Linked DNA regions of Canis lupus familiaris. The protein of the gene in region 1 binds, or shares a complex with, the protein of each later gene. Links are inferred from orthologs where the notes say so. Each region holds a gene or a part of one and is shown on either strand. Other genes may lie near its edges.

What was found.
Region 2: GTF2F1 (region 1) and POLR2G share a complex: the UniProt entries of both Homo sapiens proteins name them as parts of the TBP-based Pol II pre-initiation complex. The link is inferred for Canis lupus familiaris from reciprocal best matches to the Homo sapiens genes GTF2F1 and POLR2G.

The regions. Positions count from the first base shown.
Region 1 is NC_049241.1:54,175,933-54,179,735, reverse strand, and holds the end of GTF2F1 (general transcription factor IIF subunit 1), read right to left. Parts: intron 2,458-3,803; coding exon 2,273-2,457; intron 1,734-2,272; coding exon 1,580-1,733; intron 1,500-1,579; coding exon 1,318-1,499; intron 1,207-1,317; coding exon 1,130-1,206; intron 1,052-1,129; coding exon 913-1,051; intron 741-912; coding exon 623-740; intron 531-622; coding exon 326-530; 3' UTR 278-325; downstream 1-277. UniProt on the Homo sapiens protein: TFIIF is a general transcription initiation factor that binds to RNA polymerase II and helps to recruit it to the initiation complex in collaboration with TFIIB. It promotes transcription elongation.
Region 2 is NC_049239.1:54,436,536-54,441,074, forward strand, and holds the start of POLR2G (DNA-directed RNA polymerase II subunit RPB7), read right to left. Parts: upstream 2,836-4,539; 5' UTR 2,634-2,835; coding exon 2,622-2,633; intron 2,503-2,621; coding exon 2,393-2,502; intron 1,438-2,392; coding exon 1,278-1,437; intron 545-1,277; coding exon 494-544; intron 399-493; coding exon 333-398; intron 237-332; coding exon 165-236; intron 1-164. UniProt on the Homo sapiens protein: Core component of RNA polymerase II (Pol II), a DNA-dependent RNA polymerase which synthesizes mRNA precursors and many functional non-coding RNAs using the four ribonucleoside triphosphates as substrates.

The DNA.
Region 1 (3,803 bases):
GGAGCCGAGCACTTCATGGGTTGGGGGGGGGGGGGGGGGGGGGGGGGGTGGGCACAGCTGAAGGCAGAACCGGAAGCCAGCTGGAGGGACGGCCGCCCACGCAGACACGCAGAGAGCACCATGGGCTGAGGACTAAGGAGCCAGCTCCAAGGGGCAGGGGAAGGTTCCCGGAGGGAGGGACCTGGGAGACCAGAGGACGGCCCGGGGTGATCCCGCACTGACAAGGGGGCTCTGGGACTCAGGGAGCAGGTGACAGACAATGCGAGCACCCAGGAGGTTCTGGCGACGGAGCCTGTTTATTGGGCAGGTGGGTGGGCGCCGCCCGTCACTCCTTGAGGGAGAAGTGCATCTTGTCGCTGATCATCTTGCGCTCGGGGTTGAGCCGCTTGAGGATCTGCGCGAGCACGTTCACGGTCTGCTCGCTGCTCAGCCCCGTCTTCTTGGTCTGGAACTTCTTCAGCAGGTCCTTGGTGGTCATGGGCTTCCGCGTCAGGTAGCGGCGCACCGCGTCCTCCGTCACCTGCACGTCTCTGTGGGGCCAAGCAGAGGGCGGCGTGGGCGGGCGTCCGCAGGCGGCCTCCCCACACCCCCGCCCCGCCCCTGCCATTCCCCCGCAACGTACCCGCTGCTGGGGGTCGACTTCCCCGACTGGGGCTGAGGGGTTGACTTCCCCGACAGGCTCTGGGGCCCCGGGTCCAGCCGCAGACGCTTGGCCACCGGCGTCTCATTGGTCCGCTTGCCTGGGGGAGCGGGAACAGGGCTGAGTCCTGTGCTCGAAGTGGGGGAGCCCAGGCGGAGGGGTGCCAGGATCCCAGTGCAGGGGGCCCAGGGGGCACACAGGCCTTGGCTCCCGAAGCAGAATGCGGGCCAAGGGTGGGAGAAGAGGAGGCAGCGAGGCTGGGTCCCGCTCACCCTGCTCCAGCTTGTTGGCGGCGGCCCGCAGGGTGGAGGACGTGCTGCCACTCTCCGCGCTCGGGCTGCCCGGCCGGCTGTTGCCCCGAGAGCTGCCTCCCGACGGCCTCCGCTCCCGCTTGGGGGGTGTCTTCTTCTTCTGTGGAGATGGGGTCCGGGACATGAGTCTACAGATAGCCCGTCGCCTGCCCCCTCCCGCCCCCGGGCCGGGCCATACCGCCATGAAGAGGGCCGAGGACGCCTCGCTGTCAATGTCGCTCTCCTCCGAGCTGTCCGACTCGTCGCTGCTGTCTGCTGGGGGCCAGAGGAGAGGTGTGGCTGCCGGGGTGCCCACCCGTGCCAGCCCCGCCTCGGGTAAGGGGCTAGGGGGTGGGGGGTGGGCTGGGATGCAGGGAGGGGACCCACCTTTCCTACGCTTCTTTTCCTGGGGCGTGGGCGCCTTCTTCTCCTCCTCCTCCTCCTTGTCCTCCTCGGGTGGCTTCTCCTCCTCGCTCTCCTCGCTGCTCTCGCTCTGCTCGTCTACGCCCTTGGGGCCCTCCTCCTGCTGGACGACCTTGGGCTTGCCCTCCAGCTCCTCCTGCGAGCTGCTAGAAGACAGAACGAGAGGGTGAGGGCCGGCCTGGGCCATCCTGGCCCCAACCCCTCGGCCGCCTCCTGCCTGCCTTACCTCGAGCCGTCCGACATGTAGTCCACCTCCTGGCCCTCGAAATCCCCATCGTCGCTGTCCTCGAAGGCCTCATCATCGGAGCCCTTCTTCTTTTTCTTCTTCTTGGTCCCCTTGGTGGGTGGTGCCTTCTTCTTGGCCTTGGGGGCTCTGCCCCCTGCGGAAGCAGAGGCGGGCTCAGGCTGGCGCTCATCCTATTTGGTGTATCCGAGGAGGTCCGCCTCGGCAGAAGCCCCCGAGGACCCACGTCTCCCAAGCAAACCCGACCAATGCAAGTCTACACCCCTGACTCCCTCTCTCCGGTTCTCACACTCAGGAACGCCACCTCCTTCCCTGCATCCCCCAGGACCGGGTACCGACAATCAGAAACCAGCCTGTGGCCAGAATTATTTGAATTGGCCAACCTGAAGCTGTTGCACCCTCTGCCCCTCCGCATTGCACATCCCGTGGGAGCCCCAATAAAGGCCACAGCTGAGACCTTCCTGTAGCTTTCTGCCTCCTACCAACTCAGGTGCTTGCCCAGTGGCCTGTGTAGCCTGCTGAGCCCTGCTCTCATTCCCAGGGGGCTGTGACTAAGCTTCAGTGGCACTAACCTCCCTGGGCCATCACTCAGACACCTTGACAAAGTACGACGCAAGCACAGATCACCAGGCTGTGCGGATCACCCAGTCACCCCGGGGGCTCCACCGGCCTCACCTTCCTCACCACTGGCCTCGCTGTCGTCAGACGACATCTCCAGGTCATCCTCCAGGTCGTGGATGCGCAGCTCACTGGCTTTCTTTCGGCTGCGCTTCTCCTTTTCCTCGTCTTCCTCCTCCTGATCCTGATCCTTGAGCCGTCGCTGCTGCATGATGCTGAAGTGGTTCAGGACTTTGTTTCTCCTGTGGGCAGGGGAATGGGATGCAGTGGGAGGTGACAAGGGGCCTAACTCCAGAAACCGGGCCTCCTAACTGCATCTACACCAGGCACTCCCCCAAAGGGGAACCATAGACACAACTTTGGTGATATGAGGGATGATCACAACCCTGGCAAGTAACACCCTGAAATTACATGCAGAGAGCTGAATTTCTTTGACTCCTTTCAGTCCTATGTCCCTCAAGGAGAAGCTCTCAGTGGTTTGGTATCCCAGCATCTCTCAAGCTCAAGGCCTTTCCCAGGCAACAACAGAATTTGGCCACAATGTATTTACATCCATGTGTTTTTATGGTAGTTTATGGGTGCCTTTGTTTTTATGACAAATAATACTGCTGTTTCCATTTACCGTGATGGTAAAAGTTTTTAAAGTTTTTAAAAATATGACTATCTAAAGAGAGTCTTAGGATTGTATCTAATAGCACAAGCAAAGTTCATCAGTGGCATGGGAAGGAGTAAAGCTCTTTGATACAAGAATGTGAGTGGACTTAACACTACTGATTAGTACACTTAGAGTTGACAAATTTTATTGTGTGTTTTTTAGTTATTTTTAATTATTTTTAATTAAAACATGGAATGAGGATCCCTGGGTGGCGCAGTGGTTTGGCGCCTGCCTTTGGCCCAGGGCGCGATCCTGGAGACCCGGGATCGAATCCCACATCGGGCTCCCGGTGCATGGAGCCTGCTTCTCCCTCTGCCTGTCTCTGCCTCTCTCTCTCTCTTTCTCTCTCTCTCTGTGACTATCATAAATAAATTAAAAAAAAAAATTAAAAAGAAAATTTAAAACATGGAATGAAATACTGATATATGCTACAACACAGATGAACCTTGAAGACCTGCTGAATGACATGCCAGTCACAAAAGGACCAATACTGCATGATCCCACTCGTATGAGGTCCCTTGAAGGGTCAACTCAGAGAAGGAAAGTGGAATGGTGGAAGCCAGGGTTGGAGAAAGGGGGCAAAGAATAACTTTCATGAGGACAGAGTTTCAGTTTGGGAAGATATGAAAGTTCTGGAGATGAATGGTGGTGAAGGTCGTACAACAATGTGAATGTACTTAATGCCACTGAACTGGATACTTAGAAAGGATGAAATGGCAAGCTTTTACATTACATACATTTTGCCTGTAGTTGATCCAGCCATAGCCCTCCTGCCTGGGGGATGCCAAGTGGGCCAGGGAGAGGCCCCTGCTCTGCCGATTCCTGCTCCATGACTCAGCTCACCTACCCCTCCCCAGCTCTCTCAGGGCCCTGTAGTCCCTGATGCTTGTGTCTGTCTCCCCCACTGAACTGGGAGCTCCCCCACGGCCTGGT
Region 2 (4,539 bases), on another chromosome or scaffold:
TAAGCAAGCATAGAACTAACTTCTAGCCCAGCCCCAGGCCTTCTGCTCACCCATCCCCTCTTCCTGGCAGAAGAAAACAAAACCCCCAGGAACCCTGCATGGTAAGAAAATCAACAGCTGCCAGCTCTGCCTGGTACAGGTAAGAAGGTAGGCAAGAGACTCACAATGTCATTCTTGTCCACACGGGTCCCCACAATCTTCAAGCGGATCTCATCATCCTGCTGAATCACAATGTCCTGAGGAAGAGTAAACAGGATACTCAGATACCTACAAGCCAAAATTTCTTGGAGGGCTCATTCTTCGTCCTTCTCATGGACTTCTTCCCCACTCACCTCATCCATTGTCTTATAACATGGTGGGTTGGAGTTGGGGTCAAACTCCATCTCTGATGGGATGGACTGAAAGGAAAGCAAGACAGAGCTTTACAGGAGTGCTTCCAGAGAGAGTCATGACTGGCTTCTCTCCTTAGCACCCCCAGCACGCCCAGACTTACATGTCGAGAAATGAAGCAGGACATTGGTCCAATTTCTGTGAAAAGTCCAACCTAAGAGGACAATGGGGGACTTTGTTTTTCTTTTTAAATTTTTATTTATTTGAGAGAGAGAGAGAGCAAACGTGTATAGACAGTGAAAGGGAGAAGTAGATTCCTGCTGAGCAGGGAGCTGGCTGCGGGGCTCCATCCCAGGATCATGACCTGAGCCGAAGGCGGCTGCTTAACCGACTGAGCCACCCAGGCAGGCACCTCGACTTTGCTTTTTCTTTTATCCTCAAATTCACCTAAGCTTCCCAACTTTATCTAATTCCTAATAATATTCTTCATATTTTGAATCCACTCTGAATTGTATCATTTGCTTTCATGTCTCTTCTGCTGAGATTTCATTTCAAGTTACGCAAATACAGTGCACTAAAGAGCCAAGGCCTGGCACTTGTCGGTCCACAATCTGACCACCTGTTGATCACATGACCTTGGCCATTAGACAACTTCTAACTTCTCCAGGCGTAAGCTTCTATAAAAATGGATAAAAGCATGACCTTAGTCACCGTTAGGTTTTGGACCTTACCCAACCCATAATAAGTATTCAATGAATGGAGACTACTATTGCTGACAACTCATACTGACTTACAGGACCCCAAGGGAGGTTTCTGCACCATTTGACAGGTGTAGAAACTGAAGCAAAAGTGACTTACCCAAGGACACAGAGTTAGCAAGAGCAGTTGGGACCCATCCCCCATCTTCTGAGCAGCCACCCAACTGCCTCCACTATGTATGGACTCACCTTGTTGACTTGAGTGACAACAGCATCCACGACCTCCCCTTTAAAGGGCCGGAAAACAATGGCCTTGTACTTAACTGGATAAAGGACAAACCCTCGGCCTGGCTGGATCACACCAGCACCAATATTGTCAATGGTGGTGACAGCAATTACAAAGCCATACCTGTAAGGAGGATGAAAAAAAGAAAGGCATCGTGTGTGCAAGAGCCTCTAAAATCATCTACAACAAAAAAAAAACAAAAAAATAAAAAATAAAAAAAAATAAAATCATCTACAACAAATCAGTGATGATGGGGGTCAGGGGACGGCACAAAGGGAAATAGATGGCACCCCTGCCCACAGAACTTCATGTTGGGAGAAGAATACAGATCAGTATCTATAACTTTTTTTTTAATTTTTATTTATTTATGATAGTCACACACACAGAGAGAGAGAGAGAGAGGCAGAGACACAGGCAGAGGGAGAAGCAGGCTCCATGCACCGGGAGCCCGACGTGGGATTCGATCCCGGGTCTCCAGGACCGCGCCCTGGGCCAAAGGCAGGCGCCAAACTGCTGCGCCACCCAGGGATCCCCGATCAGTATCTATAATGCCAAACACTGCTCTCATGTTTCACAATAAATGTCCAAGGAGACTGCAGTCCTTAAGCCAAGAGACTTCAATCTTGAGGATGCCTCAGAATCACCTAAGAGGAACTTCTTAAAACACAGATTCCCAGAGATCCCTGGGTGGCTCAGCGGTTTAGCGCCTGCCTTCGGCTCAGGGTGTGATCTCGGAATCCCGGGATCGAGTCTTACATCAGGCTCCCTGCATGGAGCCTGCTTCTCCCTCTGCCTGTGTCTCTGTCTCTGCCTCTCTCTCTATCATGAATAAATAAATAAAATCTTAAAAAAAAAAAAAAAAAGTCTGCGGAGTAAACGAATGACCAGTCTCTGCTGAAGTAAGTCTCGCGATCCAGAGGGCACCTCGGGAACCCAGGCCGGAAGCAAGTGACTGCCTCGGGTGCCTGAGAGGGTGAGAGGGTTCCCCGGGGCAGGGGGCAGGTGGCAGGTGCTTGCAGGATGAGTAGGAGTTGGGTAGAGGCTGCAGATCAGGCGGCGCGAAGCACTCGGGACTCACTTGCCGGTGCAGGTCCCCTCCACCTCGGTGAAGAGCTTCTGCTTGACCGTGTTGAGCAGGTTGGGGCCGAAATAGCGCGGGTGCAGCAGGATCTCGTGCTCCAGGGAGATCTGCGGGGAAAGCGGCATGGAGACCAAGCAAGGACGAGGAACAGCATCTCCTCGTCCCGGAGCCCCGCTTCGCTCCTCCTCTTAACCCTGCCCTCGCGGCCACCCCGTGCTCCGCGTACGTGATAGAACATCCTCCCAGCCGGGACCGGACAGCAGCCAAACCCAAACTGCCTCGGTGGTAGCCGCGGTTCTCACGCAACCGGAAACACGCACCGCCCCCGGAACCCTGCTTCCGGGCCTGTCCCCGCCAAGTGGGCGGGACTCCGCTCCCTTCGCGGACCCAATTGGTCATCGCTGTCGTGGGCGGGAAATCGGTGAGGCCCCGCCCTTCCGGCCCAGGTCCTCTGCGGCGCAAATGCTGGCTCTTCTAAATGAACAGTTTCCTGGCCTAGGAGGGATGCGCGATATACTGTTAAACGGAATTAATTAGCTAATAAAAGACAACGTGAATACAGTGCTTTAGCAGAACGCATTCGTGTGGCAAATATTTGAAGGCTGCCTTCACATAGTAAGCATCGTAAGGAGCTGTCTTTATCTCATTTCATGTACATAGCAACACCACTAGGCAAGCTTTACAAATGAGGGACCAGGCTCAGAGAGTTGAGGTCACTTGAGGGTCACGATTCAAATGTGCAGTGTCTGACCTCCAAGACCCTTGCGTATTTGGACATTCCAGATTTTCATGCAGTCATTTGTTCAATAAAATGGAGCACCCCACTCCTTGCTGCAGGTAGTTAGGAGATGAAGCAGCCAAAATCAGAGCCCAGGAGTCAGTCCTCCCTCCGGTGTGAGAAACCAAGTCACTGCACTCCTCTTTCCCGTTTCCCCCCAACCCGCTGACACACACGCATGGGGGGCTTAGAGAATTGATTGGTTTGTTCCCTCAACTCTGCCCACTTTTTTGTAGACAGTCGCTTTGCTAAACTCCCCTCAATTAACCGGAGTGATAATGCAATCTATTCCCTGTTGAGACTGACTGATAAAAGGGCCATGCAGAAAGAGGCAGAAACCATGAGACAGACCCATGAGTAAGGCTCAGCCAGGGCAGCTGGTTCTAGAGCCGGACAATCCTTTTTTCTTTTTTTTTTTAAGAGCCGGACAATCCTTAAGGCTTTGAGCAAACTCCCAGTTGCCTGAGTAAGGTTTTTATGGTGGTTTTTTTTTTTTTTTTATGTTGTAAATAAAAGATCCTGACCCACCCTACAGCAAGAACAGACACTTCACGTCTGCTTCCTCAGAACTGTCACATACCAGTTCGTATGGACACTGTCCATTTCCTGGAATAGTTGATCCCACCAGTCTGCCACTAAAACTCCATGGGGATCCCTTTTGAAGGATCAGGCAAGGAGATCCCTGGGTGGCTCAGCGGTTTGGCCCCTGCTGGGGGCGCCCAGGGCGAGTTCCTGGAGTCCCAGGATGGAGTCCCACATCGGGCTTCCTGCGTGGAGCCTGCTTCTCTCTCTCTGCCCCTCTCTCTCTCTGTGTCTTTCATGAATAAATAAATAAAATCTTAAAAAAAGAAAGATCAGGCAAGGAAGCAGATGAATGGGCCTCAGCAGTCCTGACTTTTCCTCTCTTCTTTCCCAGCCATCCTCCCCTTAAAGGCAATCTTAAGGACAGTGGTGTGCTAGAACCAGCTACAAGAGCCATCACCTCCTGGGGTGCATTGCTGGCTCAGTTGGTACAGCATATGACTCTTGATCTTGGGGTTGGGAGTTTGAGCCCCACATAGAGAGACTTCTTAAAAAAGTAAAATAAAATCTTAACTTCATCTCTTCCTAATTATTTTACCACAGTTTACTATTATCAATGCTCTTTACACCTATTGTGCCTCTGTGGTATGGTAAAATATAATTGCATATGCAGGTATAAGACTTCCGGTTACTCCGGTAGCCTCACCAGCACTCGGTACTTTTTTTTTAATATTTTATTTATTTATTCGAGAGAGAGAGAGAGAGAGAGGGAGGCAGAGACACAGGCAGAGGGAGAAGCAGGCTCCATGCACCGGGAGACCGATGTGGGATTCGATCCCGGGTC